3 linked regions of the Oryzias latipes genome follow. The protein of the gene in region 1 purifies or fractionates together with the protein of each later gene. This does not show direct contact. Links are inferred from orthologs where the notes say so. Each region holds a gene or a part of one and is shown on either strand. Other genes may lie near its edges.

The links.
Region 2: the proteins of polr3e (region 1) and gpn3 purify together in Homo sapiens (affinity purification with mass spectrometry; 3 studies listed by BioGRID and IntAct, counting the BioPlex papers as one, with this or other methods). This does not show direct contact. The link is inferred for Oryzias latipes from reciprocal best matches to the Homo sapiens genes POLR3E and GPN3.
Region 3: the proteins of polr3e (region 1) and uri1 purify together in Homo sapiens (affinity purification with mass spectrometry; 4 studies listed by BioGRID and IntAct, with this or other methods). This does not show direct contact. The link is inferred for Oryzias latipes from reciprocal best matches to the Homo sapiens genes POLR3E and URI1.

Annotation. Positions count from the first base shown.
Region 1 is NC_019877.2:13,143,127-13,146,879, forward strand, and holds the start of polr3e (DNA-directed RNA polymerase III subunit RPC5), read right to left. Parts: upstream 2,651-3,753; 5' UTR 2,583-2,650; exon of another isoform or gene 2,507-2,582; intron 2,451-2,506; exon of another isoform or gene 2,285-2,450; intron 1,563-2,284; 5' UTR 1,516-1,562; coding exon 1,477-1,515; intron 421-1,476; coding exon 370-420; intron 1-369. UniProt on the Homo sapiens protein: DNA-dependent RNA polymerase catalyzes the transcription of DNA into RNA using the four ribonucleoside triphosphates as substrates.
Region 2 is NC_019870.2:16,801,784-16,805,536, reverse strand, and holds the start of gpn3 (GPN-loop GTPase 3), read left to right. Parts: upstream 1-1,560; 5' UTR 1,561-1,675; coding exon 1,676-1,723; intron 1,724-1,879; coding exon 1,880-1,988; intron 1,989-3,753. UniProt on the Homo sapiens protein: Small GTPase required for proper localization of RNA polymerase II (RNAPII). May act at an RNAP assembly step prior to nuclear import.
Region 3 is NC_019864.2:30,477,058-30,480,810, forward strand, and holds the start of uri1 (unconventional prefoldin RPB5 interactor 1), read left to right. Parts: upstream 1-985; 5' UTR 986-1,303; coding exon 1,304-1,378; intron 1,379-1,759; coding exon 1,760-1,794; intron 1,795-2,770; coding exon 2,771-2,849; intron 2,850-3,022; coding exon 3,023-3,158; intron 3,159-3,753. UniProt on the Homo sapiens protein: Involved in gene transcription regulation. Acts as a transcriptional repressor in concert with the corepressor UXT to regulate androgen receptor (AR) transcription.

The sequences.
Region 1 (3,753 bases):
AGCTTAAGGAATAAATGACTAAAAAAGGAACATTTTGAAGAACAAATTTTAACAGAAACATTTCATTAAAATCAAGATAATTGAAATGGGTTTGGTGCAAGTTACACATTTTCAACAAAACATCTGAAAGGGCAGAAAAAATGCTTATTCATTATGTTTGTGGCTCTCAAAACAGAAAAAGAATAATAATTTTGAATTCAATTTTTCCTTTTTATGTGTATATTTATGTGACTAACACATTCAACTGACTTCCATTTAACAGTAAAAAAAATAAATAAAAAAATAAAAATAAAAAGCATTGACCATGAGGAAAGTAAAAGGTTTTAAGCAGAATATAAAAACAGGCACAATAATGAAGGAAATGCTTACCTGGAAAAGATAGAGCTTATCTGCGAGGCTTTTGGCGAGGTACACGTCAATCTACAGAAACACACAAATGAAAATCAGACTTTTCCACTCTGCACAAATGACTCTGAGCTTCAAGGTTTTCAACGTAATATTATATGAGTCTTAACTGCATTTCTATTCATGTAGTTATCTAAATAAAATGTCTTAAAACATAATAAATAAGAAAATTGTTAAACTAAACATTATTTGTTTAGCACTTTACATACATAACGTTGCTTCCTAAAGTGCATGAAACATAAGTACACAAAAAGTCAATTAAAAAATAGTTTTTTTGAAAACATATTAATAAACAATACCAAAAAGGTTTTTCTGCCTATGAATACATCTGCCTCTTAAACACAACAACTTCTCTTAAACAATGGCACAAAAGGCTTCCTTGGGCATTTTGTACAAACCACCTGCTAATCTACACACTAAAACTCCCACACCAAGTGTAAACTGAAGGAGACATTTCCAGTTGAAAACCCCAAAGCAGCGGCACTCCTTTTTGTACATATGGCTCAATATGCAATCCTGCAGATCAGGTTATAGGAAAAATGCTGCAAAACTCAGAGGCTCTTCTTTTTTGGGGGGGTTTCCCAAAGAAACTGATGACCCACACTCTGATGAAAATTGTTTTTTTTTTTTATGATGATGGAGGACATGTATGTGAAAATTAACCACTCTAATTAAAATGCGTTTGGAAAAACCAAACCACTTGCCTAATACTGTTAATGTTGTTTAATGTAAATATGTGACCGATTTCAGAGGCTGTCAGTAGTTTCCATTCTCTTTAGAGAAGGTCACAGTGTAAACACAGATGAATTGTTAGACAACAGCATGTTGGATTGTTTTTCAATCGACCGCAGACCACAGAAAAACGTCTTCAAATTAGCTTAAAACAAACACTAATACATGCTAGTTTAATGGGAACTACATTTACCCATAAACATGGTCATTTCCTTATTTTTGAGATCAATAAAGTTTAATTCATTCATTCAAATACATATTTCTCATGGCTCAAAGTTGCTGCATAGCAGTGATCAGAAGAGGATTGAAACTTTATTTAAATTCCAGACGTAAACATACCTCCTCTATAATTGGATCATCTTCATCTCCACTGGCCATATCTATAGGATCAGGGGAGCAGCAGTGATATATCAGAGGACTTCAACCTGGACAAAATAAATGCAAAGCAAGAATCCGTCATTGATTAACACTGCTTTTAATATGCTACAGCAGGTAATCCAAAAGAACAGAAAGGTTTAACAGAAGTCCTAGTAATCCAGATGTACATTATATTTGTAAAAAAAAAAAAAAGTGTTTCATTGGTAGTTAAACGTATAACAAGTTACATTTCTGTATCTATATGCGATCTAAACTAATCTGTGATGATGCAGCATGTCAGATGATGCTTTCACGGACCCATCACGGCGAAACTGATGTAATAGTACGCAACCATCCAAAAAATTGAAGTTTTTCACTTCCCTAAATACAAACGACGTCCAGCATCCTTGTCAATCTGTGATTTATGTTGGTTACACAATTTTCTGCAGGCCCACAGTTCAGAAAAGTCAGATAGTTCTTGCTTCGTTAGCTTCATTAGCCTAGCAAGCATCAGCTCTTTAAATTACTAGCCACAGGCCCCCACAACAGAGACACTCAAAATAACATTTCTTTACAAATACGCGCTTAAGTAGACAGAGACGAACGACACTTTTAACTGTGGAGTTTTCTGAAAATTCCAAAACTGAAGGTAGGCTGTAGCTAAGCTAACCAGAGTAATGTAGCTTAGCGTGCTAACACACACATCAGAGATTTATGATAAACAAGACAAAACATCAGATTTAGCACTTTGGACATGTGGCATCCCCATAGAAACAGCGTGAGGCCTCACCTGCTCACCCCCTGCAGTTTAAATATATAACACGTTCAAGAACAGTCCATGAGTGAACTACTAGACTTGAAGCAAACTACCGGGCTTGAGGTACCATGATGTTGACGCTGTTTCAACAGACACGTGGGGAGTTGGACGTGCTCGTGCAAATAATGCTATTCGGACCAAACTGCGGAACTGAGCACTGTCACGTGTCTTTATAACCTATTTACTTTAACTTACCTTTTATTCACTAATTCGTTCTGCATGTGTTTTCTTTAACTGTTAGATCAAGCGTTGAGGAAAAACAACGACGTACCAAAAAGAATTCTTGGCAGCGGTGGGATTCGAACCCACGCCCCCGAAGAGACTGGAGCCTTAATCCAGCGCCTTAGACCGCTCGGCCACGCTACCGTGATGCATTGCGAAGGAAAATGTGTCATCATAGTCCATAGGCAGCTGAACGCTGCCTATTCATGTTCAATTATAAATGCAACCACAAGGCTGCACGACGCATTACCTGTCCCATGTCCGGCTAAAGGACATGGGACATATATATATACGTGCCGTATATGTATATATGAATTGTGTATCACGAAACAACAAGAACCGAGACATTCGGAAAAGTTTTTTTTTTATTTGGAAATAGGTAAGTACCAATGAAGAGAAACCTTTTATACCTGGGTTACACTAAGACTGGTATAATTTACTTAAAGAATAAAGAATCAATAAATACTTCCTACATTTAACACAATTGAGTGTCAATCAGTTGTGTTAAATTTAAAACAACTCATTGTCACTCAACGTCACCCTAGTGGTATCCAGTCGAGATGCAACAATTCACTTTCTCCACGATTTTGTTCAGTTCAATGGTGAAACACACGGTTCAATTTTAAACAGGGAATTGTGAGATGGTTTGTAAATACAAAGGGTTGTGTCATGAAGGGCACCCAGTAAAACCAAAGTCAATACAGTCGTGCAAACTACAACAATAAATTTTATACTAATCGTGGCAAAGGTGTAACAACAACCACCAATGGTACAGTCATCCACAGGGTGCCAATGGAAATTGGACATGTATGAGAGGTGTGAGGCAGTGGTGAGATGGTCTTCCTTGTTTGTGTGGTGATGAACAGACTGACAGATGAAGTTAGACAGAAATCTCTGTGGACCATGATGTCTGCAAATGACATGCATTGAAAGCAGAAAGGAAGTGGAAGAACAACTAGAGAGGTGGGGGTTTGACGTGGAAAGGAGAGGACTGAAGGTCCGCTGCAGAAGATGGGGAGGATTTCCAGTCTAGAACAACAGATTGGTTGTAGAGGCATATGCAGACAGGTTGTAATGGGTGGAGGAAGGTTTAGGTATGATGTGAGACAAAAGAAAAATGTTAGCAAGAATGAAAGGAAAGGTGTAGAAGATGGTGAGAGAGCAGCCATGTTGTTGGTTTAAAGCAGAGGTCTGCAACCATCAACACTTAAAAAGCCATT
Region 2 (3,753 bases), on another chromosome or scaffold:
AAGAGAGTGGATAATTGTTGAAAGCTGGACTCTTTTGGGGTTTTGTTACCTCATTCCTGAGCAGCTTATCGAGAATTCTTGAAAGCAAACGTCATTTGTAAACAATTAATGTTTACTTATAGGTTCATTTATCTTAACGGAGGTTTTCAGACCTCATTACTTTTTAACGCTACACAAACGATTATTATAGTCATTTATAACTAGGATTTAAAAAAAGAGAGGATTATTATCGCTCGTAAACAAATACAGAGCCTTATGCTAACAACAAACCTTAAGGTAGTTCCTGAAGTGAAACTATTTCATATCACGTAAATCGAAAGCACTGACGAAAATTAACATGAACGTGTTTCAGACAGCAAAAAAAAATACAACAAAAAAAGAAAACATTTGTTTTAAAAAATAGAAAAACAAAGACTTGCCATAGTTAGTAGTAGTAGTAGTACCTGCTAAGAAGTCCACCGTCACGCGGTAATGTCTGTACACAAACTTGGCCTGTTAACTCCATTCACTTCCTCGAAACATACTATTAATTTAAGCGCCTGATGAAGGACGCAATCAACAAACTTGGTGAGCAGGAAGGCTTGCATACGTTTCCAAATTTCACCTGATCATCGCATGTTGATGCAGTCACTTTCTACTTCTTACTCAATTTTGGTGGTTTCGTTTGTTGACAGCAAAGATCCCTGGGGCTCTACCGCTCCCTAACGGCCAGTTTGTGAACAACTTATTGTCATGATCTTTGCTTTAAGTTTCATGGTTATCGTGGTCATATCATAGGCAGTTTAAACGACTTGTTCAAATAAATACATATGGTTTTAATAAAGCAATTTTAAAGTTAAAGAGCAAAATTTTTCATTTCCTGGGGAAACTTAAAAAAATGCCACAACTGACACTGCCACAGAATTTGCGACTCAATGGTAATTGACACACAAAAAGAAAACAATTGTTGCACAGTATTTTCCTCACTATATTGGTTCAATGCTCATCATCAGTACATTCGTATGGAAGATTTCTGTAGTATATTTTAAAATGAAAGTCAATACCAGAAATGCTTTTTCAATTTTTAAAATGAAGCTGCATTTGTAATAATTTATAATAAAAAAAAAAACAATCCGACCAAACCACTTTTTCTTTTTCTTCTTCTTCAACACAGCTCATTCTGTCACTTAATTAAAATGAGAAAGAAAATGGTATTCGACATTTTTTACTAAATGTGTAGCATAATGTAATTAGAAATATCTTCTTTGATCATCAAAGTTTATTAACAGAAATGCTTTTTCATTTTGAAAATGTAACTGCATCAAGTGAATTAAAAAATAAAATTACAAACGAATGAGCCAATCTGCTTTTCTTTTTCTTCTTCAACACCGCTTATTCTGTGGCATAATTAAAGCGAAAATGCAAAGATGGGATTGCATTTTTGTTTTCACATCCACCGTGCGAAAGGTGTAATAATTCATCACCAGTTCATTCCATTGTGGCTCTTTTTCAGACCACTGTCACCCTGACTTCCATTTCCTCTTTTGATCAGTAGGTGGCAGTAATGAGCCTGACCGTAAATCATCTACCGGAGAAGAAGAAGTAGCGTCATCACACCGATGCGTATGGCATTACAAGCTAGCGTCTGTGGTTAAAGATACTTAAGATCTTTATCACACCGCATTTTTCAGAGAAAATGCCTCGCTATGCCCAGTTGGTGATGGGCCCGGCTGGTAGCGGAAAGGTATGTTTTCAAAAATGCCACTGGATGGTCTACAGCCTCTTGTCTGTTGTTGCTAACAGTACATGAGGTGGTGTCAGTCACCCAGCGTGTTTTTATTTTGTTATTGTGTTTTGCCATTAATTGTATCTTTTTAAAATATTATTATTAATATTTCAGAGTACGTACTGCTCCACCATGACCCAGCATGCAGAGGCTTTGAACCGCTCAGTTCAGGTGGTCAACCTGGATCCAGCAGCAGAACACTTTAATTACCCTGTTATGGCAGGTTAGTATGCTCAAAATGAACCGTTTGTGTCTCCAAATATGAAAACAAAAAAATTAAAAAACGATCATGTTGTCATGGTAATCCATCTATGACAGCAGGATGTCCTTTCTGACGTTGGTAAATCCTTGTTAAAGTCTTGAGATCTGTTGAACCTAATTTACTTTTGTTTAAAAAAAAAGTATTTTATTGAATCTTTAAGTTTATATAATAATAATAACAATATTAATAATAATAATAGTGGATTGGATCTTTCTGCGCTTTTCCAGACGCTTAAAGTGCTTATTATGTGTCCATTATTCATTCACTCCTAAGTCATATTATGGATACACCTCAGTATTGAGAGATAGAATGTTACAAATTAAAGACTTCATTTGTAAAGTGAAGTAGAAAATAAGTATTTGGTCAATATCAAAAGTTCATCTCAATTCTTTTGATAGAGGTCAGACATTTTCATTGGGTCTTCTCTTTTGGTCCATTTCTCCATGTAGATCTCCTCAAGAGCTTTGACGTTACTGAGCATCACAGACTTTCATCTCCCTCCACAGATTCTCTATTGGATTGAGGTCCACAGTCTAGCTAGACCACTCCAGAGCCTTAAAATGGTTCATATTTTGCCACTTTTGTGTTGCCTAGGCCAGTGTTTTTCAACATTTTTTGAGCCACGGCACACTTTAACCTTGACAAAGACACAGCGGCACACCAGCATCCAAAAAAAAACTCAGTCTGTATTGATCGACAGCCCCCCCCCCCCGCAATCTCACGTGCATTTTTGTGATAATTGGGGCAGAAAAAACAGGAAGTTGCAGCTGTTTTTTCTAAAAGATGAAATAAAAGTTAAGTTAGAAAATTCAAAAACTGTTTCATGTGTGTTTGTTGTGGTTTCAAGACATTTAACAAGGACGACTCATTGTACGCTAAGACGCTGTCCCTTTAACCCAGTGCATCGTGGGAGATGTAGTGTGAAAACTGCCGCAAAAGGGCAGAAGCTTCAATGTTTTGTTCACTTGTTCCACGGTCTGACACCGGATTCTGTGGAAAGCTACACCGCTAAAGACGACCTTTGGCTGGTATTTTTGTTAGAACCGAGAGACTTTATGAGCTAAATCGGGACAAGGAAGTGAAGACTTTAACCACTTCTGATTGGTCAGACTGATGACATGTGATTAAACCTTCAAGAATGATTGGCGGAGACAGTTAAAGGGGCGGGACTTTTCCTAAAACAGCTAAAGCTGCAGCCAAATCGCGGTACCGTCATTCTTATCAAAATGTCTTTAATAGAATCAAATAAACACAAAGAAAAAATAATTTTGTGATCTTTTATATTCCTAACTACTCAGTGTTTTATCAGGGCCTGTTTGGATGAACACAGAGCTGATTTCCTGGAGATGGGAAATGTTTTTAGATCAGTTAATGAGGGCAATTTCCCACGGCACACTGGACCATCTCCCACGGCACACTAGTGTGCCGCGGCACACTGGTTGAAAAACACTGCTCTAGGCAATGTGTTTGAGATTTTTGTCATGCTGGAAGATCCAGGCACATTTCATCCTCAGTACTCCCACTGAAAGAAGAAGTTTTCTTTTGCCCAAAATCTCTCCATTCATCCTTTTCGTAACAAGGATCAGTTGTAATGTCCAGTGAGCAGAAACACAGGCCCAATTCATGATGTTTCCACCCCCATGCTTCACAGTAGGTAATGTGTTCCTGGGATGTGAATTGGCGATCTTTCGCCGCAAAAAACTGCAAGTGGCGTTGATGCCAAAGA
Region 3 (3,753 bases), on another chromosome or scaffold:
ATTATTTTTGTTCGGTTGTCAAAAAAAGAATAAATAAAAACTTGAATTATAAGAAAAACAACAATGGAGTTACGGCTCATTTTAAATGTTTAAACTGTTTTTCGTCCTCTTTTTCTGGTAAATTAAACTAATCGTAACATTAGTAAAAGGTTTTTCCACATGGTTCTAAAGTAAGCAAATGATAGTTAATTTTTAAGGTAATTGGATCTGTGAACACTGTGAATGTATAACTGCAATCCAGTCATCATAAATGATAATTTGAGAAACAGGTGTGTTGTGCTATTTGAACACCACAGATGCAGAAAGTTGTCACATTTCGTGTTTAACTAAAATTAGAAAAAGTTGAAGAAGGCCTGTAAGTCAGTATTCCGGGCTGCAGCTGTAAAGTTTGATCAAAAGTGAACATAAAACTGTGATTTTTGCTGTAATGACGTTATATTAAATGCCGACATCAAGAAAATGGATATTTTAACTAAAAGCAATAATTCGCTGTTCAAATCCAACAGAACATCCTTTATTGCATCTTCTTTCAACTATTTATAGTGCATCCAATTGCAACGCATGCAGACTAAAGTTTTTTTTTCTGAACTGACAGTTTAATTAAAGCTAGAAGTAATATTTTTTTTCTTTAACGTGTGTTTCTGTTTGTTAGTTTTTATACGTTTTAATGCTTGTACAGCTCTAAGTTAAGATTCGGTTTATTTTTTATGTTTCGTAAAATATTTACAATACTAAACATTTACCCAGAGTGCACTCTGGTAGACTTTTCTAGACGTCAAACAGAAATGACACGCTTGGTTTTCAAAGTAAGAGCGAACATTTAGATAACGTGTTAACATTTTAAGAAAAACACATGTAAGATACGTGATAACGAAGATTAAATTGGCATGTAATTTATGGTTTGGTGTTTTGGGAGAAACTTGCATAAAAAAACGTTGCCCACTCCAAGTCTCTTCCGTTCACGGGTTTTATTTTGAAACTAAAAACCGGAACAGCTCCCGTTTCTTCCCCTGTGGGTCGATCTGCACAGCGAAAGAAGCGAGGAGTTCTCTGCTAACCTCTGGATCCAAACTCGGCGGATTTTTTTGGAGATCATGCAGAAGCCGTGAAATGAGCGTGTGAGATGATATCACCTTCGGACGTGAGGATTACCGTCGATGCCCCGTTGATGAAGGCGCGCGGGACGGGCCTCCGGAGGAGCTGCTGCTGCTGCGTTCATAAACACTTCTTTAGGACTCACAACAAACCCTGAGCTTTGGTGCTCCTCAGAGCCCCAAGGCACCTGTGCACGTGCGGAGTAAGGATGGCTGGAGGAGGAGGTAAAGCGAACATGAAGCCCCTCGGCGGGGTTCACAGGCTCCGAGAGGAGCACGAGAAGGTAAGAGGAGCGCGTGAGCAGATCTGCAGCTGCGGGCCACGAGGCTTGTTTCCTTCTGAAAACATCCTCCTCTGCAGACATGAGCCGCAAATACGGAGAAAGAAGATTCGTTTCTTTTCTTTGCCCTGCTTCAGGTGAATTAGATCAACCCACAAGCCCCTCCCCCAAACCTTTACCTGAGCTTTTACTCCTGCAGGTTGTTTGGTTTCAGACTCCATGTTTACAGGCTGCCTTTGCTGCTAACTTCTGTTTTTTCTCTCTCTCTCTCTTTCTCTCTGTTTGGCTAATAAGGAACACAAAACTCAGTTTGATAGCATGAAAACATGTATGTTGTGTTGAACGTGTCATGTTGTTCATGAAAGCATTTTTTTCCTGCATCAGGTGGTGAAAGACTGTGACTCACGGATTCAGCATTGGTAAGCTGCACAGTCCTGAAAGTTTCTCCTCTTCTACGGTTTCCTCTCTGCTTTGAGTGTGAATGTGTACGACTTGGATATGAATGCAACAAAGACGCTCAAAGTTTGCAGGAGAATAACCCCCCTCCCTTTTTTTTAAGCTGCAGTCATGGATTTAGATGATCGCATTTTCAATTTTAGAACTTGACGGTTAAAGCTTCCCATATTATTTTCCTCATATGGCAAAGACAAAAGTTTTTCTAGGATTTAGCAGTCTATCGCCACAGCATGATACTTCCGCCACCCTGCTTTACCATGGAGACACGCCCCCACAGAAGACTAGTTTAGCTCCTAAACCGTCCCTCGCCCACAGTCGGCCCTGATGCAACATTTCCTTTTGTGGTCCGTTAGCAACTTCCATATTTTTGCAGAATTCTCCCCTTTTTCTTTGCTTTCTCTTTCATTTTCTAGGATGTATGAGAACAAAATAATTCAGAAAGATGCAAAAAACAAACCAGATCAGCCAATTTAAACTCCACTATCTGATGAGGTTGACATCGTTTACTCGCACCAGGCGAATAATCTTAAGAAATTAGGTAATAATTGGCGTTTATTTGTTTAGGGAAACGTTTATTTTTTCTGCTCTGTTTTTTTTACTATATAAACTATAAACTTTCAGGTTATTTTGTGAGTTATACTCTTGTAAAAATGTAGTTTAAATGCATTTAAATGTCCTTTTTTCCTTAAAGATTTTCAGCAGTCATTTATTTTGGTTTTGTTTACAGTCTTCATGAAGGCGTAAAAGTTTTTTTTAATCTCTAATGCAAGTTAATAAAAGTTAAGATGTTTTGGTTTAAAGTAGTTTTCCTTATAGATGATTGTCATTGCCCCCTTGTGGCCATCTGAGCAATAACATCCTTTAACTTTACTCATCATTTTATACCCAAATCGCATCAATTGGGTTAAATTCTGAATATTTCTGTGACCCGACCTGCAGGATGAAGGTGTCGGGTGATTACGACGCGCTCAGCGATCGACTCAAAACCCTCCCAGACCGGCTCTCCTATGACATCATGGTGAGCGCTCGCCGTTTCACTTGACAAGTTTACAGAGTGACCCAAAAACCAAAACTTTACTGGAAGTTCTGTGTCTCCCGTTTGCTCCATGTTCGCGCCCACTTCCTGTCAGCTGCTCTGACTAACCCGGTTCTGTTCTGTGGCCCGTCCGGGCCTCCTTGTGCTGTGAGCAGGTGCCCTTCGGCCCGCTGGCCTTCACGCCCGGCAAGCTGGTGCGCACCAACGAGGTCACCGTGTTGCTGGGCGACAACTGGTTCGCCAAGTGTTCGGCCAAACAAGCCCAAGCGGTGGTGGATCACAGGATGAAGCGTGAGTTTCTGAACGGCGGCGTGTGGCTGCAGAGCGGCGGCCTGTGGCTGCAGAGCGGCGGCCTGTGGCTGCAGAGCGGCGGCGTCTCCAGCGGGGGGCGGCAGTGCGTCACATTCCGACAGCCTGAGCTTTACTTTACAGACGTTTCTGGGCTCAGGATGAAGTACGTCTTTGTGTAAAAGCGTTTGGACTCGTTCTTTACGTCAGTGACGGCTGCAGGCTTAGCCCCCCCCCCCCCCCCCCCCCACCACCACACTTTTGTGGCCAGGTTATAGACCGCTATGGTCGTTTGGCGTGTTGTCCGGACGCTACAGCCTTTACCTCCACATAAAAAAACCCTCTCTGATTTGAACATTATTAGACTGTTTAGTGAAGCAGAAATGCCCCCCCCCCGCCCCCCCCTCTCCTGACCCCCGCCATCCCTGCTATTACACAGCTAAGTGCTGTAATGCAAACACAGCGAGCTGAAATGTGTCAGACAGCGGCTGAGCTGTCTGGCCTTCTGCGTTTGACCTTTCCTCACTTCCAGTTGATGCACTGACTGGAGGGGCTCGCCATCGCCATGGAAACAAGGGCCCTCTGCTGCTATTAGTGA